3 linked regions of the Caenorhabditis elegans genome follow. The protein of the gene in region 1 purifies or fractionates together with the protein of each later gene. This does not show direct contact. Each region holds a gene or a part of one and is shown on either strand. Other genes may lie near its edges.

Region 1 (6,393 bases):
TAATTTAAAAGTGGAAAACCGTGCCGCAAAATTGCGAAATTACGCCCCGCCTCTTTTTCTGTGCGGTGCTGTTTTTTCGATCGTTTAATTGCTCCTAAAATGCGGGGGAACTCTTTTACAAAAAAAATCCTCCAGAATCGACCCGCCACTCAAATCCAGGAATTCGACTTCTGAAAGTTCCGAACAGAGATTCAGACGAAGAATCGGAGAACTCATTCGACGACGGAACCACTCAGGATGAATCTGGAGTTAACGCGTTTTTCGGACAATTATCTGATGAGAAAGAGGAATCTCCGACGGCTGTCGAGTTCTCAATGGCTGCACATTTGACAGAATTTAGTCAACGACAGGCGGCTGCTGCGGCCAAGATGAACATGAAAACACCGGAGAAGAAGGTTGTGGAGATTGAAAGTGACGAGGATGATGGTGCGAATTTTGGAAATCTTTTGAAAAACCCACGAAAATTGTTGTTTCAGTTTTAAAATCCAAATTTTTTATATCAAAAATTGCCATAAATGTGTAGAAAAATGTTCGTTTAATCTGTAAATTTTCATTATTTTTTATGGAAAAGTTCGAAAAATGGCCTTTTTTGAGGTATTCTACGTATTTCACTAAAAAAACTAAAAAACACTAAAAAAAATATTATTTTCATCTAAAAAAAATATTATTTTCAGATTAAACGAACACTTTTCCACATTTTTATGTAATTTTCAAGAAAATCTGAAAACCCAATTTTTTAAATCAAAAATTGGCATAAAACGGTAGAAAATATTTGTTCAATCTGAAAATAATATCGTTTTTTTTTTGCGGAAAAGCTCGAAAAATGCCCTTGGTCAGGTATTTTTTTTTTAAAAATCGAAAAATCTAGAAAAAAGTAGAAAAGCCTCTAGATTTATCAAAAATATGTTGATTTTGATGAGAAAAACGAAGAATTGGTCATCAAAATATTGATTTTCATTTGAAACATAATTTATCAGATTTTCAGGAATTTTTCCGAAAAAAAATTTAAAGTAATTTTCAATTTTTACGGAAAAATGTGTAAAAATGATGAAAACCCATTAAAATTGCTAGAAAATCGAAATTTGCTTGGGAATTCAAAAATAAATCGGCTTTTTTTTGTTGTGAAATTGGAAAAAAATCTTTCTAAAATTTATTTTAAATAATTGTGAAACTTTTGCAACAAATATTATCGTTTCGGTAATTTCTGGCTATTTTAATTGAAAAAAGTCAAATTATCGATTTTTAAGGCAATTTTAGGGTTTCTTTCACACAAAACGAAGCAAAAAACTTTTTTGAAAGAATGAGAAATGGCTGAAAATGCGATTTAAAAAAAAAAAAATCGGAAAACTAAAATTTTAAATATTTTTACGCTCATTTTTGGGTGGAAATTCTATAAAATACCGATTTTCAGATCTCGACAGCAGTATTATTGCTCCGAACAGAGCCAAATCAAAGGATGACAGGAAAAGTGATGATAGTGACGATGTTAGTTTTATATTAATTTTTTTAATCGAATAAAATGAAAAAATTTCAGGATCTGAACGACGAGGAGGGTGATGCGGATCAAAGTATCTGGGGAAGCGACGATTAGAAACGATTATTTTTTTTTATTGCAACCAGTAAATATAATTATTTTAAATGTGATTTATAATTTTGTGTCATTCGGTTTTGTTTTATACCCACACCTTTTTTAAAAAAATATCTGAAATTGTTTCTTATTCGATTTTATTTTCTTTGGTTTTTTAAAATTACTTTTTTTTGGTTCTATTTCGATCCAAATTCATTTATTTTATTTTTTTGGAAAATTGGAAAAAAAACTGAAAAGAGCCCATTTTTTGAATTGCTGCTTTCTTCCTAGTTTCGACGTTTTCCTGTTATTTTAATTGATTTTCCTCTTTTATTATATGTAATTTGAAACATAATTTATCACATTTTCAGGAATTTTTTCCGTAAAAAAGTTACAAAAAATAACGTTAAATTATCGAATTTTACAGAAAAATGTCTGTAAAAATGTGAGAAAAACCAATAAAAATATCTGAAAAATGCCGAAATTTGCGCGGGAATTCAAAAATAAATGGATTTTTCTGTGCAAAATTGAAAAAAAATTAATAAATATGACTATGGCAATTTTTTCATTAAAAAAAAATTCCAATTTGAAACATGATTTGTCACATTTTCAGGCATTTTTCCGCAAAAAAGTTGAGAAATTATCGATTTTTAAGCCAATTTTAGAATTTCTTTCACACAAAATGTTAAAAAAAAAAAAAACAAAATTTCGAATTATAAAACAAAAAAACGCAAAAAACCAATAAAAAATAGCTGGAAAATGTCAAATTTGTTGAAAAATTGAAAAAATAATTTCAAAAAATTTAGATAAATTCTACAATTTTAGGAAAACCCATTTTCCTGCAATTTACCATCTAAAAAGCTCACAGAGACACACTACACTCCACCTTTAAAAGCAAACGCGCTCCACCGAACAACTCCCAATTTTTTCCATTTTTATTAGGAAATACTGGATAATATTGTGCGTCTCTCTCGAACGGCTAAAAAATGAGTAAGCAGCAACGGCGAAAAGGAAATGCAAAGGTTAGTTTTTCATTCCTTGGCTAAAATGAAGATGAAACGAGTTGTTCAGAATGCGAGCAGTGCGGCGGCTCACGAGTATTTGGCTCAAGGAGGAGCCACGTTTGTCGGGTTGACGCCTGAGATGAATATTTTCGAGGTGAGAGGCTATTTGGATTTTTTTAAGTGAAAAAATAAAAAATTCCCAATATTTTTCCTTTATTAAACCTTTATTTCCGCTGAAAAATTAGGGAAAATGCTCAAAAACTACTTTTTTTTTGCCATTTTTGAGCAGTTTTTCAAACTTTTCGGCAGAAATATATGTTATTTTCAGAAAAATGAAGTAATTTTTAATGAAAAATTATTTTTAAAAAAAGCTTTAAAAAAAGTCCATTTTGATTTTTTTAATTAAAAAAGTAATGAAATTCCCAATATTTTTCCTTTGTTTTTAACCTTTATTTCCGCTGAAAAGTTTGGGAAAATACTCAAAAATTAGATTTTTTGCCATTTTTTAGCACTTTTTCAAACTTTTCGCCGGAAATAAAGCAAATTTTCATATTTTGACACTAATTTTAAATGAAAAATGTTAGAAAAACCGATCAAAAGAGCAGTGCCGCACAGAAAAAGAGGCGGAGCGTAATTTTGCAATCCTGCGGCACGGTTTCCACTTTTAAATTAAAATTTCGATTTCACTTGTTTTATTGGCACCTGAGATGAATATTTTCGAGGTGAGAGGCTATTTTGATTTGGAAAATCAAAAAAATTTAAAAAAATTCCCAAGATTTTTCATAAAATAACATTTATTTCCGCTGAAAAGTTTTGAAAAATGCTCAAAAAATTTTTTTTGCCATTTTTGAGCACTTTTCGGCGGAAATAAGTGTTATTTTCTGAAAAATCAAGTGATTTTTGATAAAAAATGTTAGAAAAAACTATCAAAAAAGCAGGCGCCGCACAGAAATAGAGGCGGAGCGTAATTTTGCAACCCTGCGGCACGTTTTCCACTTTTAAATTAAAATTTCGATTTTTACCTGTTTTCTTTTCTTTTCTTTTTTCTAATAAAAATATTATCCAATTTAATCCTCATATTACGTATACATCTGCAAAAGTCGCCATATCTTACGCGCAAGATATCCCGCAGGGAAGAGACAAAATTACTGTATTTGTGTCGATTTACGGGCCGGGTTGGCATCATTTTTTGAATTTAATTTTTTTTTAAATTTCGAGTAGCAATTTTTCATCTTCAAGCGTTTTTATGTTAAAAATTCAATTATTTAATTGAAAAATCCATAAAGATGAGAAAAAAAACGAAAAATATCTGAAATTTGAAAATTGCTGCTCGAAATTTAAAAAAGCAGTAATTTTCAACTTTCAGATACTTTTCGTTTTTTTCCTCATTTTTATGGATTTTTCAAATAAATAATTGAATTTTTAACATAAAACGCTTGAAAATGAAAAATCGCTGATCGAAATTGAAAAAAATTAAGTTCGAAAAATGCAGCCAGAGCGGTCCGTAAATCGACACGAATACAGTAACTTCGTTTCTTCCCCGCGGGATATCTTGCGCGTAAGATATGACGATTTTTTGTAGATGGATAAGTAATATCAGAATTAAATAGGATAATATTTTTATTCGAAAAAAGAGAATAAAACAGGTAGAAATCGAAATTTTTATTTAAAAGTTGAAAAACCGTGCCGCAGAGTTGCAAAATCACGCCCCGCCTCTTTTTCTGTGCGGGGCTGATTTTTTTCTAACATTTTTCATTAAAAATTAGTGCCAAAATATGAAAATTTGCTTTTTTTTTCCGCCGAAACGTGCTCAAAAATGGCAAAAAAAATGCTTTTTTCCGAACGTGTCAGCGGAAATAAATGTTATTTTCAGAAAAAAAAATTGAATTGCATTATAATTTTTTCCAGGTGGCCAGCAGCAATCGACTCCATCAAGTAGTGGAAATCGACGACGAAACTCGGATTGTCATGAAAAAATTGACGAAAAAAGACTGTCAGACGAGAGAAAAGGGGCTCAAAGAGCTTATGGAACTGATAAACACGGAAAATAGTTCGATCGAGAGCTCCTATGAGCATTTCTGTGGACTCGTCGCCCAGTTGACCACAGATGGAAGCCCAACTGTGAGAATGCTCACGATGAAAGTGATTTCTCAGTTTTTGACAAAGTTAAAGAAATCTGCGAGTAAAGGATTGAAGAAAATCATTCCTTTCGTTCTTTTTGCAAAGTCTGATGTTACGAATGGAGTCGCTGCGGCTGCTTCTGCAGTTATTCGAGATGGATTTGATGCGGATAAGAAGCGACAAGTTGTGGAGCTCTTTGTGCCGAATACCTTTGATTTGGCAGCGAAAATTGCGGAGGGAAAGCATGAACTCTCGCTGCCAGCGGAATATGATGCTTCGGAGGATCTGGAAACGCGGAAAATGAGACTGGAGACGCAATCTTTGAATACATTCCTATCTTATATTAAAGGTGGAGTAGAGTCAGAAAATATATGTTTTGAAGGTGGAGCACCGAAATTTGAGACTTTGCTTTTTAGACCCAAAATTGGTCCAAAACTACCGAATTTCGTAATGAGACGTTCTGAAAATTTCTCAAAAAAAGTTACGGCGGTTCAAAGTTCTGCAAAATAAGGCCCATTTTCAGCTAAAATCAAATTTTTGCCAACTTCTCTGTGTCTCAGCGTCTGGAACTTAATTTTTATTTATTCATCACTTTTTAATAAATATTACGGTTTTTTATTAGCCGTTTATTCGTTGATTTTTAGTACATTTATTGTCAGTGGAGCACAAAATGTAACTTTAAAAAAAAATGCAACTTTGCGCCCCACTGACCATAAATGCACTGAAAATCAACGAATAAACGGCTAATAAAAAACCGCAATATTTATTAAAAAGTGATGAATATATAAAAATTAAGTTCCAGACGCTGCAACACCGAAAAGTTGGCAAACATTTTGATCTTAGCTGAAAATTAGCTTTTTTTTTCAAAAATTTGAACCGCCGTAACTTCTTTTTTGAGAAATTTTCAAAACGTCTCATTACGAAATTCGGTAGTTTTGGACCAATTTTGGTCTAAAAAAGCAAAGTCTTAAATTTCGGTACTCCACCCTTTAAATGATGAAAAAAAAAGACCCTAATGACCGAAAATGAATGTAAAAAAATTTGAGGCACCACGTTTTTAAAGGTGGAGCACCGAAAAATCTGGGAAATATTTTTAATCGACTCCACATTTTCCCTATTCCGAATATCTATGTGAAAAAATCGAAAAAAAAATCCGAGATTTTATATTTAAGCTTGAAATCACGATTTTCATTTGCGCACGTGCGCAAACCATGAGATTTTTCAAATTCGCTCCCAAATAAATTCGCATTGGAGCGCGCTTGCATCGTTTGATTTTCTTAGTTTTTTTAAAAATTTTTTTTCGTCGAATTCAATTTTTTTCAAAAGTTTCATTCATTTTTTGTCGAAAAAAAAGTTTTATCGGTTTTCTGAAAAAAAAAAATTTTTTCGTCAAAAATGAATAACACTGGTTAAAAAAAATTGAATTCGACGAAAATAATTTTTTTTAAAAACGAAGAAAATCAAACGATGCAAGCGCGCTCCAATGCGAATTTATTTTGGCGCGTATTTGAAAAAAGAGACCGGGGCACAAATGAAATTCTGCGATTTCAAGCTTAAATATAAAATTAGGGAAATTTTTTTTTTTTGATTTTTTCACATCGAAATTTGGAATTAGGGGCGAATTTGGAGTCAATTAAAAATTATTTCCCAGATTTCGGTAGATCTACATTTTTAGGATGTCTGGCACCGTGCCAACTGCGG
Region 2 (6,684 bases), 2.0 Mb from region 1:
TTGCCGAAAATGAAAGATTCCGGCAAATCGGCAAACCGGCAATTTGCCAGCAATTAGAATTTGCCGAATTTGTCGACAAATTTTTTTTAACAAAAAAAAAATTGCTGACGTTGAAGCAAAATTTAATGTTTTTTACTGTTGAAAATAAGGAAAATTTTTTTTTCGAATTTTTAGCTATGAAAAAATGAAAAAAATTATCTAAAAAAATCAATTTTCAACAATTTTTCAGGTCGGCTATCACACAATTGCACCATACATCTCAAAAGAGGAACGACTTCATTTATTGAGAATGATGGGAGTGGATTGTGCTGAAATTGAGCTTTTGATGAAGAGCAAACGAAAGGAGAAGGTGAGCAAAAGCGATGAATTTCGAAAAATATTATCAAAAAATTGGGAAAATCTAAAAAATTTAAAAAAAAATGCTAAAAATTTGAGTTTTTCGACTGAAAATTTCAGCATTTTCGAACAATTTTCAAATTTTTCCAAAAAAAAAAAAAATTTTTTTTGAGAATTTTACTATAAAACTTTTAAAAATTATTTTTAAATTATTTTTATAGTTATTTTTTTGACTTCCCGCCCAAAAAAAGACGTAATTTGGTCATTTTTGAGCTTTTTCGCCTTTTTTTTCGCTGAAAAATATCTAAAAAATTTTTAATTTCATTTTAAAAAATTCTGTGTAGAAAAATTAATAATTTGAACATTGAAAAAAAAACGTAATTTTAAAAATTTAACTCAACTTTTTTGGAAGTTGTCTTTTTTTTTGCACATGAAAATAGTCAAAATTTAGAAAAAAAATTAACAATTTTCTTTTTTTTTCAATCGGCAAACCGGCAAATTGCCGAAAATTAAGGATTCCAGCAAATCGGCAAATTGCCAAAATTTAAAATTTCTGCAAATTGCCAGAATTTTAAATTTCCGGCAAATCGACAAATTGCGAGAAATTAGAATTTTCGGCAAATCAGCAAACTGGCAAATTGCCAGAAATTAGAATTTTCGGCAAATCGGCAAGCCGGCAAATTGCCAGAAATTAGAATTTTCGGCAAATCAACAAACTGACAAATTGCCAGAAATTAAAATCTCCGGCAAATCGGCAAATTGCCAGAAATTAAAATTTTCGGCAAATCAACAAACCGGCAAATTGCCAGAAATTAGAATTTCCGGCAAATCAGCAAACTGACAAATTGCCAGAAATTAAAATCTCCGGCAAATCGGCAAATTGCCAGAAATTAGAATTTTCGGCAAATCAGCAAACCGGCAAATTGCCAGAAATTAGAATTTTCGGCAAATCGGCAAGCCGGCAAATTTCCAGAAATTAGAATTTTCGGCAAATCGGCAAGCCGGCAAATTTCCAGAAATTAGAATTTTCGGCAAATCAACAAACTGACAAATTGCCAGAAATTAAAATCTCCGGCAAATCAGCAAATTGCCAGAAATTAAAATCTCCGGCAAATCGGCAAGTTGCCAGAAATTAAAATTTCCGGCAAACCGAAAAATTGCCAGAAATTAAAATTTCCGGCAAATCAGCAAATTGCCAGATAGTAGAATTTCCGGCAAATCAGCAAACCGGCAAATTGCCAGAAATTAGAATTTCCGGCAAATCGGCAAGCCGGCAAATTGCCAGAAATTAGAATTTCCGGCAAATCAGCAAACCGGCAAATTGCCAGAAATTAGAATTTCCGGCAAATCAGCAAACCGGCAAATTGCCAGAAATTAGAATTTTCGGCAAATCGGCAAGCCGGCAAATTGCCAGAAATTAGAATTTTCGGCAAATCAACAAACTGACAAATTGCCAGAAATTAAAATCTCCGGCAAATCAGCAAATTGCCAGAAATTAGAATTTTCGGCAAATCAGCAAACCGGCAAATTGCCAGAAATTAGAATTTCCGGCAAATCAGCAAACTGACAAATTGCCAGAAATTAAAATCTCCGGCAAATCGGCAAATTGCCAGAAATTAGAATTTTCGGCAAATCAGCAAACCGGCAAATTGCCAGAAATTAGAATTTTCGGCAAATCGGCAAGCCGGCAAATTTCCAGAAATTAGAATTTTCGGCAAATCGGCAAGCCGGCAAATTTCCAGAAATTAGAATTTTCGGCAAATCAACAAACTGACAAATTGCCAGAAATTAAAATCTCCGGCAAATTGGCAAATTGCCAGAAATTAAAATTTCCGGCAAATCGGCAAACCGCCAGATTGCCAGAAATCAAATTTTCTGCAAATTGCCAGAATTTTAATTTTCCGGCAAATCGGCAAATTGCGAGAAATTAGAATTTCCGGCAAATCAGCAAACTGGCAAATTGCCAGAAATTAGAATTTTCGGCAAATCAGCAAACCGGCGAATTGCCAGAAATTAGAATTTCCGGAAAATTGTTATTTTTAGAAAAATAGGATAATTTGAAAATTGAAGAAAAAAAACTAATAAAAAAGTTTAACTAAATTTTTTTGGAAGTTTTCACAAATTGTTAGTAATTTCATGAGAAATAAGTTAAATTTTTGTCCAAAAAATCAATTTTTCAGGCCGCCCAAGACCGTGAAGCCGCGTGGGCTCGCAAGGAAGAAGCCGCAAAGGCTGCGGAGCCGTCCAGCAGCTCAACTGATGCTCCAGAATCTGCTGAAACTCTGGAAATTCCAGAAGAAAATGTTCAAGAAATGACTGAATAATTTGTTTTTTTTTTGTTATCTCTTTTTTCTCCTTTAATTTATCTCCATTTATCCCCTACACAGTTATAAATTCTGCTACGTGGCCGTGTGGAAAAAACTCGGCCACCGATTTTTTTTTGTTCCCTCACGTGGTGCCAAAGTGTTTCATTTCTGTTTGATCTACAAAAAATGCGGGAATTTTTCCCCAAAAAACTGTGACGTCAGCACGTTTTTAATCGTGCAAAATCAGTTGAGAACTCTGCGTCTCAACTCCCGCATTTTTTGTAGATCTAGGTAGATCAAACCGAAATGAGACATTCTGTCACAACGTGTTCCCTTTATTGTTGTTGCAGTTGTTATTTGATTTTTTTTTTTGAAAAAATTTGAATTTTTTTTTCAGATTTTTTCCTCTGATACTGCTTCAAAAACTAAAGTTGTTGAGATCACACTATGATATTTTCTAGATTGTTTTTTTAAAATTTAATTGTTAAAAAAATCAGATTTCAGAAAATGCGAGCTGAGCTGCTCGGATGTGGACACACGGGCGAGGGACAGCTCGGCGTTCGGCTCTCCGAGTCGACGATTCAAGTTCCCGAGAGAATTAGTACGGAGCTATTTTTGTTGCAGAAATTAGAAAACAGAAAAAAAAATTAATTCCGAAATTAAATTTTAAAAATTAAAAAATTTCGGATGAAAAAAAAACAATTGGAAGATTTTTGTAAATCTTTCACAAAACTTTAAAAAAAACTTTTTTAAAGAAATAATGGCAAACCGACATTTTGCCGGAAATGGAAGATTCCGGCAAACCGGCAAAAAGCCAGAAATTAAAATTTTCTGCATATCGACAATTTGCCTAAAATGAAAATTTCCGGCAAATCGGCAATATGCCTAAAATGAAAATTTCCGGCAAATCGGCAATTTGCCTAAAATGAAAGGTTCCGGAAATCGGCAATTTTCCTAAAATGAAAGGTTCCGGCAAATCGGCAATTTTCCTAAAATGAAAGATTCCGGCAAATCGGCAAGTTGTCAAAAATGATAGATTCCGGCAAATCGGCAAAAAGCCAGAAATTAAAATTTTCTGCAAATCCACAATTTGCCTAAAATTAAAATTTCCGGAAATCGGCAATTTGCCGAAAATGAGAGATTCCGGCAAATCGGCAATTTGTCAAAAATGATAGATTCCGGCAAATCGGCAAAAAGCCAGAAATTAAAATTTCCGGCAAATCGGCAATTTGCCGAAAATGATAGATTCCGGCAAACCGGCAAAAAGCCAGAACTTAAAATTTCCGGAAATCGGCAATTTGCCGAAAATGAGAGATTCCGGCAAATCGGCAATTTTTCAAAAATGATAGATTCCGGCAAATCGGCAAAAAGCCAGAAATTAAAATTTCCGGCAAATCGGCAATTTGCCTAAAATGAAAATTTCCAGCAAATCGGCAATTTGCCTAACGAAAAAAAATTGATTACTTTGGAGCAAAATTGTATGCATCTTTAAAAAACTCTTTTTTTTTGAATATTTGTTTAAAAACTGTGTGAAAATAGTTTAAAATCGTCTCGGAATTTTCTCTGAAAATTGTTCAAAATTTCAGTTGGCGCTCCAAATGATATGGATGGAACCGCAGTGACGTCAGTCACGTGTGGTGAACAACATACAGTATTCCTGACAAAAGATGGCAAAATGTGGAGTGTTGGTAGTAATATGGATGGACAATTGGGACGAGGCAGTCGGACTGAGGGTTCTTTTTCGATTTATCCGGTTTCTTGGACAAGCAGTGCGAAAATTATTCAGGTAACTTTGAGTTTTTTTTTTGGCGAAAATCCATTAGAAAATGATTTTACCATATTTTTTCGCTAAATAACATTTGAAAAATAAAAAATTTTTCGTTTTTCCCTAGTTTTTGGCGAGAAAATCCCGTAGATCTCATTTTTGTAAACTCTTTTTCCGTGGAATCCCCTTTTCTTAGATTTCCATCTCGCAGATCCTCTTCCCATAGTTCCCATTTGCGTAAATTCTCTTCTCGTAGATCCCCGTTTCGTAGATCTCCGTCTTGTTGATCCCCTTCTCGTAGAATAGCAAATTTCTAGATCCTCTTCTCCCAGATACTCTTTTGGTAGATTCACTTCTCGTAAATCTCCTTCTCATAGAATTAATTTTGGTTCCCGTTTCGTAGATCTCTGTTTCGTGCAAGCTCCCTTCTCGAAGATTCCTTTGCCGTAGATCTTCTTTTCGTAGATCACCCTTCTCGCAGCTCTCTTTTTTGTAAATTCTCTTTTCATAGATCTGCCTTCCATAGACTTCCCTTCTCGGAGATCTCCTTTACGCAGAACGACGTTTTGTAGATCCTTTTCCATAGATTCTCCTCTCGTAGAATGGCTAATTCCTAGATCCTCTTCTCCCAGATCCCTTTTTTTGTAGATTCTCTTCTCGTAGATCTCCGTTTCGTAGATGCTCTTTTTTGTACATATATTTTCCATAGATCCCTTTTTGCCTTTAATGTAGATTTTTTCCATAATTACCCTCTCCGTAGATCTCCTTCTCGTAGATCCCATTTCCGTAGAATTCCCCCTTTCGTAGATCCCATTTTCAAAGATAGCCTTTCCGTATAATCTCCCTTTCGTAGATTCGATTTTCGAAAATAATAATCTCGCAGATCCCCTTCTCATAGATCCCCATCTGGTTGATCACCTTCTCGTAGATGCTTTTTTCATAAATTCCCTTACTTCAGATCCATTTTCCGTGGATCTCCTTTTCGCAGAGCCAATTTCCATAGATCGCCTTCTCGTAGAAATTCCATTTTTCAGATCTCTGCTGGCCGTTCTCACACAGTCTCCGTAACCGACGATGGGCGTGTCTTCGCTTGGGGCTCCAATGAGCACGGACAACTCGGAATGGAGAGTAAATTCACGTGGCAGGGAACACCACGACGTGTTCAAGAGATTAATGATATTGTACAAGTGGCGTCTGGATCCAATCATTGTATTGCGTTGGATGAAGGTAGAAATTTGGAAATTTGTGAAAAAATTCAAATTTTTGCTGGAAAAGTCCAAAAAGTATCTCAAAAACCTGAAAAATTGAAAAATTTAGTAAGGGGATATGGTCGGGGTACTGTAGTAGTACTGTAGGGGTACTGTAGGAGTACGGTAGGATTACTGTAGTTTAGGGAAATTTGACTTTTTCTCTTTTGAATGGATATTGGTTTGGGGTTAGTGGGGGGGATATGGTCGGGGTACTGTAGTAGTACTGTAGGGGTACTGTAGGAGTACTGTAGTAGTACTGTAGGATTACTGTAGTTTAGGAAAAATAAACTTTTCGTCTTTTGAAGGAATATTTGTTTTCGAATAATTTGCAAAAACGGAAAGCTGGATTTTTTTGAAAATAAAAAATAAAAATGTAATCCCGCTTCAACGCCAAAAGAAAAGTTGGGTCTCGTTAGGAATTGGCGGCGAAATTTTTTGCTAATTTTTGCTAATTTTGAAGCATTTTTTGTTGCTTTTAATAATTTTTGTACCAACGACGACCAAAAAATCATGGAAATCCAGAGAAAAACCGATCAATTCTGAATTGAAATTTGAATTGCCGCGCTCATTTTTCAAATTTTCCACGCTTATGAAAATGGTTTGAATCAGGGGAAAAATTCAATTTCAGCTACTACTTTTCTTGATTTTAGCGAATTTTTCTCGCTTTTATTTATATATTTTCATAAGTTTCAGTACCTGAACTATTCACGTGGTGCCAGGCTGTCCCATTGCGGTTTGATCTACAAAAAATGCGGGATTTTTTACCAAAGAAAATGTGACGTCATCACGTTCTTAGCCATGCGAAATCAGTTGAGAACTCTGCGTCTCTTCTATCGCATTTTTGTAGATCTGCGTAGATCAAGCCGAAATGAGACTTTAGGAATTGTTAAATTTTTTTGTTGATATTTCGAATTTTCAAAGAATCTTGATTAAATATTTACTTTTTGTTTTGAAATTTTCCTTTAGAAAAAAAAACAATTTATTTAAATAGTCATCGTAAATATACACACACACTTATATCCTTCTT
Region 3 (9,699 bases), on another chromosome or scaffold:
ATCTCCATCTGCCATTTTTCCGCAAATTTTGGCTCGGCGAGCAAAAACTTGATGGCTTGTTGGGACGCCAATTCTAACACTACTTCTTCGTCCATTTTTGCTTAAAATGAGGGGGTTTTGGGCTGAAATGATTAAAAATGTTCAAAAAGTAAGTAAAAAAATAGGCTGGAAACCCAGAAAAAATCGATAAAATCAATGAAAAATGGTTAAATATTCTTCAAATATTTACAAAAAATGCACAAAAAAGTGAAATATCGCCAAAAAAAACGGGAGTCTGGGGGTAATTTTACATGGAAAACTCGAATTTTCAATTAATTTTCTGCAATTTCTTCAGTTTCCGGCTCTTCCTCTTCTTCCTCCTCTTTTTTCATGGCTCTTGGCAAAAAGTCGAGCTCGGGCCAAGTTGTGCAGAATAGTTGGCGGCACTGGAAAAAATGGATATATAGCAGGTGTTTAAAATTCAGAAAAATCGATAAAAATTGAATTCAAAAAAATTTTCGAAAAAAAAAATTTTCTGAAAAATTTTTCAAAAAAATTTTTTTTTTTTAATTTTTATATTTTTTCGAAATTTTTTTTTCTAATTTGAATTTCTAATTCAATTTCAGCTCAAAAATCCAATTTTCATCGTTCTTTCGCCCTAACCTCCTCCACCACACTAGCATAGTGTAAATTCGCATCAACTGGCGGCGCGACGACGACATTTTCGGCTCCGGCGGTGTCGAATTTCATGGAATTCGCGGTGAAGCTCATCTTCCAGTAGGGTTCCACTTCTGAAATGCAGAAAAAATATCGATTTTTCTAGGAAAAATCGAAAAACTCAAAAATATTAAAGAAAAACCGGGTTCCAAGCCAATTTTCGCGAATTTTAAGTGAAAAATTCGAAATCTCCGCCCTGAAAAACCTAAATACTCCCACGGGGACTCGAACCCCGGACCTTTTGCTCCGAAGTCAAGCCTGTTAGCCACTGCGCCACCGGTGCGCCGAACCAGCGGCGCGTGATGCAACGCGTGGCGCAGTGGCTAAGCGGCTCGCCTTTGGAGCAAAAGGTCCGGGGTTCGATTCTCCGTGGGGGTGTATAGGTTTTTTATAGCGGAGAATTCGAATTTTTCACTTAAAATTGGGGAAAATTCACTTGGAAATAATTTTTCTCAAAATTTCACTGAATCCTTGCTGAGATTTCAACTCTTGGAGTCTCTATTTTAGAACTTTGAAGCTTAACATATATTAATAGTTCAAAAAAATGGATTTTGTATCATTTTCGAGCGAAAATTTCAGGAAACTAGGTTGTAACTCAATTTTTGCGAATTTTAAGTTAAAAATTCGAAATGTTCGCTATGAAAAACCTATACACCACTGCGGGGACTCGAACCCCGGGACCATTTGCTCCGAAGTCAAGCCTGTTAGCCACTGCGCCACGGGGTGCAACATGCATCACTGGTTAGCTGCAACGCGTGGCGCAGTGGCTAAGCGGCTCGCCTTTGGAGCAAAAGGTCCAGGGTTCGATTCCCCGTGGGGATATATAGGTTTTTTATAGCGGAGAATTCGAATTTTTCACCTAAAATTAGGGAAAATTCACTTGGAAATGACTTTTCCATGAAAGTTTCTCAAATTTTAAGCGAAAAATAGGTTTTCGGTAGTGGAAATTCAAAATTTCCCCCTAAAAATTCCGCGAAAATCACCATTTTTTTCAAAAATCTTCTCTGCAATAGTCTTGACACTTGTTTCTCCTTCTTGGGTACCCGTTGCATGCACCAGAACTGCAAAAAAAAAATCTTTATTTTTCTAGGAAAAAACGTGGGGGCTTACAGTGTCCTTTCGGAGCCGTACAGGCTTCAAAGCCCACTTCAACAAGCCGTGAGACTGCGGCGTCGGGCCGGAGAGATGCCAGATTGAGGAGGGTTAGCTGAAAATTTTTTCGGATTTTTAATACGAAATTCGAAATCCCCGCAAAATTTCACTCTAGAATTATTTTTTCCCAGGCTTCTAGCTCAATTTTGAAATTTTCGGGGTTACTGTAGCGCCAAAAGTACGCGATGCCCCCGTGGTGTTTGCGTACCTGACACCGAATTTTACGAAATTGAACCCAAATTGGCTTAAATTTCAGTTACGGGGTAAATTGGCAACGGGGAATTCGAATTTTGCATTGAAAATCAACTAGGAGCACTGGTTTCTCGAGTAAAATTAAATTTTTCTCGAAAACCAGTTGACCAAGGTGGTTTTCAATGCGAAATTCGAATTTCCCGTTGCCAATTCACCCCGGAACATGATTTTCAGCCAATTTAAGCTCAATTTCGTAAAATTCGGTCTCAGGTACGCAAGCACCGAGGTCAACGTACTTTTGGCGCTACAGTAACCCCAAAAATTGTAACATTGAGCTAGAAGCCCGGGGAAATTGAATTCTAGAGTGGAATTTTGCGGGAAAATCGAATTTCCTGGTGGAAAACTCCAAAAAATGCTCCGGAACCTGTTCTTTCTCGGCTTCTTTAATCGATTTATCCGTCGCATAGACGATTCTCTCGATTTTCAGCGTACTACTAGCTGGAACAGTTTCGGGGACAAATCTCGGGGACATCACGATGTAGCGACAATTTACACGATCTCCATTGGCAATTACAGCCGTAATTCTGGAAATTTTTGAGAAAATTGGTTTTCCGACAAATTGAAAATTTGGGCATAGCTTCCGCATCTCCGAGTGACAAATGTGCTCTATTGTCAAATTGTTGGCAGAAATACGGTATTTATTCACATTTTCAGCACAATTTAAGGCTGAAAATGTGAATAAAAACAGTTTTTATGCCATCAATCTGGGTAGAAACACATGAGTCACGGAATATTGTATAAAACTAGTTTTGCTGGGAATTTGACTTGAAAATTAGGTCAAATTTCGCAGAAACTATTGATTTTTCGCTTATTCTCTTCACTAACTTTCCATCTTTTTTCACGATAGCCTGTACAGGCCGTCCCAGACAATATAAGCTCCCAAAGACTGCTGCCAGCCGGCAAAAGCACTGTGAGAGCTCTCCACATCCGTAGAGTGGGAAGAGGAATGGCGATGGACCGAAATGGCCGACAGAATCCATGAACTGGCATGATGCCAACATTCCCTGGAATTTGGAAAAATTTTAAATTTTGAAAAAAATTTTTTTTTTTTTTTGAAAATTTGTTTTTCTCAAAATTTTTTTCAATTTCAAATTTGACATGAAAATCAACTCGAAATTCGAATTCTCCACATCACCAGCTTCCAAATGACACCCATCATGCCCATGATCCATCGATTTTGAAAATTTTGGGTCCCGCCACGAGGGGTACTGTAGCACCGGTTTCAGCTGTGTCGGAGCGCAAACTGCACGGAAAATGGGCATGATGGGGGTCATTGTAAAGCTGAAAGCGTTAGAGATTTGAATTTTTCAAAAATTTTTAGCAAAATAGACAAAATCAACATTTTTTCGAAAAAAAAAATAATTTTTTGCTCAAATTTTTTTCAATTATAAATTTCTTTTCAAATCGACTCAAAACTCGAATCCTCCACATCATCATCTTTCTAAAGACCCCCATACTGCCCGGGTTCCGATGATTTTGAAAATTCGGGTCTCGCCACGCGGGGTACTGTAGCACCGGTTTCAGCTGTGTCGAGACTGCCAAAACTCAAAATCAACGGACCCCGGGCATGTTGGGGGTCATTTTGAAGCTGAGAGTGGCGAGAATTCAAATTTTTCAATAATATTTTGAAAAAAATTGAAGTAAATTTCGTGCAAAAAAAAAAATTTTGGATTTTTTTTTCATTTTCAATTTTTTTAGAAATTCAGATTTTTTTCTAAAAAACAGTAATTTCCGCATATTCACCGTCATCGCAGTGGGTCTTTGCTGTAAAATGCCGATCGTATTAATAATAAAGCTCTGCAGGGTCTTTCCAACGCCCATTTGCTCCAAAAACTCTGAAAACGGGCGGTCGGCGTGCTCGGCGAGCAGTTTTCTGCCTTCTTCCGTGTCTTTTGTGCTCCATTGTGTGCAGAATGTGATGAATTTCATAAGAGCTCGCTTTTCCAGGATTCTGGAAGAATTTTTGGAGATTTATCATTGCGAATCGATTTTTTTGGCAAAGAAAATCGATATTTTATCGATTTTCAGCCTAAAAAAATCCCTTACGACAAAGCATTGCTCTGAAAAATCTCTCCTTTGCTACATGGCACCGGATTTAGGGTAATTCCGGCTTCTGGGGTCTCTGTTGGGCATAGCTGCCGGTTGACAAGCTTAAACTCGGCATAATGGGATACTTGGGAGTCACAGAGTGTTTGAACCTGAAAAAATTCAAAAAATTGGAAGAAAATCGTTTTTTTTTTCCAAATTTTTTTCAAGATTTTCAAAATTTTCCCATAAATTTTTGTCAAACTTTTCAATATCTGAAAATAATGCGGAAATTCGAATTTTTCGACGCTCTCAGCTTTCGAATGACCCCCAACATGCCCCGGCTCCGTTGATTTTGACTTTTGGAAGTTTTGACACAGCTGAAGCCGGTGCTACAGTAACCCGCGTGGCGAGACCCAAAAAAATCAAATTGCATGGAACCAGGGCATGATGGGGGTCATTTTGAAGCTGGTGATGTGAAGATCTCGGAAAAAATGTTAATTTTTGAATATTCTGAAAATTGACAATTTTTTGGAAAATATTTTTCAATTTTTTTAAATTTTCGATATTTCAGAAAACTAGCAAATAATTCGAATTCTCCACTTTATCAGCTTTCAAATGACCCCCAACATGTCCGTGGTCCGTTGATTTTGAATTTTGGCAGTCTCGACACAGCTGAAATCGATGCTACAGTAACCCGCGTGGCGAGACCCAAAATTTTCAAAGCGGTCGGAACCTGGGCATGTTGGGTGTCATTAGACAGCTGGTGGCGTAGAGAATTCGAATTTCAGAGTTTTAAATGAGGAAATTGAATTTTTAGAAAAATTTTTCTTTTTTTTCAGAAAAAAAGTTTCAAAAAAAATTTTTTTTTTGGCAAAAATTGATTTTTTGATGACTATTAGGGCAAAACATCAAGTTCTCCAATTTAGGTGTAATTTTGCAATTTTGTACCATTGCTCCCTTGGAAAGTAGAATTTTCGGCACTAAATCGATGGAAAATCGCCGCATTTGTGAAGCCTCTTCCAGTTGCGTTTTCATCGGCTTTTCCTCGTCTTTTCCACGTGGAATCCACGTCATTTCAATGTTTTCCACGATTTCTCGATTGCCGAGCTCAATGAGCTGCTCATTTTCAGTCAAAAGCTCTGATAACTTGGAAATCTCCGAGGAATCCAGCTTTTTTACCTGAAAATTCGGAAATTTTGGGGTTTTTCTGGCTGAAAATCAATAAAAACCTGATTTTCAGTCACTTCATGAACCATCGACATTGTGAATGATGACCAATCACCGCCGTAGTACTCATTTCTGCAAAAATATTTTTTATTTCGAATTTTTCAAGAAATCGAGTATGAAATTCGAATTCCAGACGTTATCAGCTTTCAAATGACCCCCAACACGCCTAGGTTCCGTGCATTTTGACAACCGACACAGCTGAAATCGGTGCTACAGTAACCCGCGTGGCGGGACCCAAAATTCTCAAAGTAGGCGGAATATGGGCATGATGGGGGTCATTTGAAAGCTGGTAACGTGAAGATTTCAGAAAGAATTCTGATTTTTTAAATTTCTGAAAATTGAAAAATGTTTTGGCAAATATATATTTTTTTTTCTTAAAATTTGTTTAATTTTCGATATTTCCGAAAACGAACAATTAATCTGATTTCTCAACGTTATTAGCTTTCAAATGAGCCCCAACACGCCTAGGTTCGGTGTATTTTGACAATCGACACAGCTGAAATCGGTGCTACAGTAACCCGTGACGGGACCCAAAAAAATCAAAATCAATGGAATATGGACATGGTGGGGGGTTATTTTAAAGCTAGTGACGTGGAGAACTCGAATATGATATCAGTTGGCTGACATTTTTCGAAAATTGGAAACTTTTGACGTTTTCCGAAAAATTTTCCACAAACTTGGTCAGAAAATTTTTACTTTCTGATTTTTCCCGAAAATTAATGTGATATTTGAATTCATCAGGTTCTCAGCTTCAAAATGACCCCCATCATGCCCAGAATCCGTTTATTTTGGGTCCCGCCGCGAAAAACTACAGTAACCCGAGGAGTTTTCGTGGCGGGACCCGAAAACTTCAAAACCAGCGGAATATAGGCAATTTGGGGATCAAATTGAAGCTGGCGACGTGGAGAATTCGAATTTTGCTGTATTTTTGAGGAAAAGTTATGATTAAAAAAAAAATTTAGCCGAAAATAATTTTTTTTTCGCAAAAATTTTTTTTTTTTCAATTTCATTCATTCATTTTTTTAAACTTTTTTTAAATGTTAGTTCGCCTATTACCTATCTAAATGAAGCACAGATAAGCCAGCTCGAGCACAAGCTGAAGCCAGAATGGCTTCAGGTAGTCCGGTGCCCAGCACCACTACGTCCACTGATTCTGGCAACTTTTCGTCCATTTTTTAGAGCTGGAAAAGCTGGAAATAGTTTGAATTTTTGGAAAATAAGAGATGTCATGCTTAAATTTGAAAAATTGAAAAAAACCAAAAAAAAAAAAAATTTTTTTGAAAATTTTCCAAAAAAAATTTTTTTTTCTATTAAAATATTTGATTTACGGCTGAAAACCTTTAAAAATTAACTAAAAAAAGTGGAAAAAACACGAAAAATCTTCATTTTCACACACACACACAAAACTTAACAAAAATGGCACGGGACGGGGGGAAGAGTTATAATATTTTTTTCAAATTTTCTGAATTTTTGCACAAAAAATAAACTTTAAAGGAAATGCTACACGTTGTGTCATTAAAATGTTAAAATTTACAACAAAAAATAAGGGGAATCTAGCAACAAAATAAATCAATTGTTTGGGAAAAAAATTGCGAAATTTCCAAAAAAAAAATTTTCTCAAAAAAATCAATAAAAATCCAGAAATTACATCCTTTCGTAGAGTCGATGAGGTTTGACACGTTCGTAGAATAGCATATAACTTTGACAGGCTGCCACGTGGGAGTACGGTACACGGGTTACCTGAAAAATTATACAAGTTTTCGGGGGAAAAATGAAAATTTGGGCATAGCTTCCGCATCTCCGAGTGACAAATGTGCTCTATTGTCAAATTGTTGGCAGAAATACGGTATTTATTCACATTTTCGGCCAATTTAAGACTGAAACTGTGAATAAATACAGTTTTTATGCCACCAATACGAGTAGAAGCACATGGGTCACGAGAAAATGTTTAGGAAGGGAATATTTAGGAAATTCTGTGAATTTTAATAATATGTCGTTTTTGTGACAAAGGCTCTTCGTTGACTGGAAATTCAAATTTTCTGAGAAAAATAAATTCGAGAAAATTCTGGAATGTTCCAAAACTTTCTAGAGAAATCGGGAAAATTCTGAAGTGTTCAATTTCGTGGAAAATTTCAGGAACCTGCAAATTTCTAGAACCTTTCGGAAAGTTCAAAAAAAAAAACTTCTTCAAGTTTTGATACTCCTAGAATATTCTGAAGTTTCAATAATTTGAAAAAAAAAGATCAAAATTGTTATAATTTCCAGAAACGCTCGCCAAAAACTCTCGGAAAGGACCGGAAAAAAGTTTTATATGATTTGAAAAACGTTTTTTTTTAGTTGTAAACACTCAGCTATATAATATTTATGTTGCTCGAAAACTTCCGGAAAACAGAAAAAAAACGTTCCATCTACAGAGAAAGGCTTAGAAATTTTAGAATTTGATTTCAATTTTGAGTACGCCAGTCGGAGCACGCGCTTCAGCGCGTTCGAACGGCTGGTATATATATATTAGGTCTCCAAATAAGTTCCGGGTCAAAAATCATAACTTTGTTCGCTGCGTATCGATTTTTATGAAACTTTGGGAATTTACGTTATCAACCATGATCTTTCACTTGACAATAGTCACGAAAGTTTTTGACCACCCCAAGTGTCCTAACGCGGAGCCAATTTTTTCAGGCATTTTTCTGATCTCGCTTCTTTTCAGTTTTCAATTGAGCTTTGTGTGCGGATTTTGCTTTGTTTAGATTATTAGAAAACAACAGAAGTTTGGAAAAAAATCCGCCCAAAAAAAAATTTTTTTGGTTGGTCGTCAAAAAATGTTCAAAATAATTTTTGTCGAAAATTCTAGATTTTTCCTACAAAAATGATGTAACCAAGTGTAAACTATTTTTCGACATACAAAACATATCAACTTAGTTCGATACACTAAAATGATAGTAGAAAATACAATTTTTTCGGATAATTTTTTAGTTTTTTGAATATTTCTTGAGATTCAAATTTTTAACTCAAATGATTTATATGTGTAAAAATAGTTTACACTTGGTTACATCATTTTTGTAGGAAAAATCAAGAATTTTCGACAAAAAAAAATTTTTTGGGCGGATTTTTTTCCAAACTTTTGTTGTTTTCTAATAATGTATTCTAAACAAAGCAAAATCCGCACACAAAGCTCAATTGAAAACTGAAAAGAACCGAGATCAGAAAAATGCCTGAAAAAATTGGCTCCGAGTTAGGACACTTGGGGTGGTCAAAAAATTTTGTGACTATTGTCAAATGAAAGATCATGGTTGATAACATAAATTCCCAAAGTTTCATAAAAATTGATACACAGCGAACAAAGTTATCAATTTTGACCCGGAACTTATTTGGAGACCTAATATATATAATTTACTATATATAAAGCGCTTATTCCGTTTGTCCATAGTTTGTAGTCTATGTAGTCTTTGTAGTCTGCGAAGTTTTAGCTTCTGGAGGGATAGTGAGTTGGGGTTAGTGTAGGGATATAGTCGGGGTACTGTAGTAGTGGTACAATGGTGGTACGGTAGGAGTACTGTATGATTACGGTAGTTTCAGAAACATTGGTTTTCAGCAACAGAAGTCGGGGGCCGCGCCGGAGGTGCGGTCCACGGCTGGTATATAAATACATATATATATATATATATATATATATATATATATATATAAGCATTTGATCGCTAGAAAGCTTAAAGTTTCGAATATTAAAGTGAAATATAAAATTTTGGCGCGAAATTTTGGTGATTGAAATCTGCGGTCGTAATGCAAATCCACATAGAATGCGCTCTATGAGCAGCTGGGAGAATATATAAATACGTAGTGAGAGAGGAGATTGGGTAACCTGATGACAAGGGGGAGGGGGTGGTAATTACATATATGAGCACACACACACACACACACACACACACACACACACACACACACACACACACACACAAATATGTGCTCATTTGGGAAGGGTAGGCAGCAGGGGTGTGCGGATAACCGATTTTTTCGGCTAACGGATAAATCGGCTAATGCCGATTTTTTGAGAACCGGCTAACGGCTAATTTCAAAATTTTCGGCTAACGGCTAACGGCTAATTCGGCTAATCTCAGTCATTCAAATCGACTAATTTTCGGCTAATTCGGCTAATTCGGAAAATATTCATTTGGTTAAGCTTTTTTTGTCCATTCTGTTAATTCAGGTTTTGGGTTAATTTTTTCACTGTTATTGAGCAAATTCAGGGATGAACGACTGTTCAAATAGGAAAAAATCATACAATTTCACCACATTTTGTTTTCCAAAAAAATATGTTAGTTGAATTAGCCGAAATAGCCGATCGGCGAA

What was found.
Region 2: the proteins of Y54E10A.11 (region 1) and herc-1 fractionate together in Caenorhabditis elegans (co-fractionation; one large-scale study listed by BioGRID). This does not show direct contact.
Region 3: the proteins of Y54E10A.11 (region 1) and rep-1 fractionate together in Caenorhabditis elegans (co-fractionation; one large-scale study listed by BioGRID). This does not show direct contact.

The regions. Positions count from the first base shown.
Region 1 is NC_003279.8:3,188,857-3,195,249, reverse strand, and holds the start of Y54E10A.11 (E3 ubiquitin-protein ligase listerin), read left to right. Parts: upstream 1-2,392; 5' UTR 2,393-2,553; coding exon 2,554-2,589; intron 2,590-2,638; coding exon 2,639-2,725; intron 2,726-4,479; coding exon 4,480-5,041; intron 5,042-6,393. Other genes in the region: syp-5 (PH domain-containing protein), read left to right, coding at 136-426, 1,412-1,485, 1,535-1,591. UniProt on the Caenorhabditis elegans protein: E3 ubiquitin-protein ligase. Component of the ribosome quality control complex (RQC), a ribosome-associated complex that mediates ubiquitination and extraction of incompletely synthesized nascent chains for proteasomal degradation.
Region 2 is NC_003279.8:1,208,346-1,215,029, forward strand, and holds the start of herc-1 (HECT domain-containing protein), read left to right. Parts: upstream 1-3,139; 5' UTR 3,140-3,149; coding exon 3,150-3,243; intron 3,244-4,228; coding exon 4,229-4,428; intron 4,429-5,441; coding exon 5,442-5,634; intron 5,635-6,618; exon of another isoform or gene 6,619-6,684. Other genes in the region: nsun-2 (tRNA (cytosine(34)-C(5))-methyltransferase), read left to right, coding at 230-349, 2,517-2,660.
Region 3 is NC_003281.10:1,567,152-1,576,850, reverse strand, and holds rep-1 (Rab proteins geranylgeranyltransferase component A 1), read right to left. Parts: upstream 6,546-9,699; 5' UTR 6,528-6,545; coding exon 6,412-6,527; intron 5,428-6,411; coding exon 5,358-5,427; intron 5,308-5,357; coding exon 5,077-5,307; intron 4,299-5,076; coding exon 4,147-4,298; intron 4,052-4,146; coding exon 3,844-4,051; intron 3,105-3,843; coding exon 2,926-3,104; intron 2,625-2,925; coding exon 2,465-2,624; intron 1,904-2,464; coding exon 1,807-1,903; intron 1,758-1,806; coding exon 1,680-1,757; intron 1,519-1,679; exon of another isoform or gene 1,446-1,518; intron 1,422-1,445; exon of another isoform or gene 1,349-1,421; intron 1,077-1,348; exon of another isoform or gene 1,001-1,076; intron 980-1,000; exon of another isoform or gene 907-979; intron 771-906; coding exon 643-770; intron 426-642; coding exon 312-425; 3' UTR 213-311; downstream 1-212. Other genes in the region: Y22D7AL.7 (Talin_middle domain-containing protein), read right to left, coding at 1-95; Y67D2.2 (Ubiquitin carboxyl-terminal hydrolase), read right to left, coding at 7,000-7,095. UniProt on the Caenorhabditis elegans protein: Substrate-binding subunit of the Rab geranylgeranyltransferase (GGTase) complex. Binds unprenylated Rab proteins and presents the substrate peptide to the catalytic component B and remains bound to it after the geranylgeranyl transfer reaction.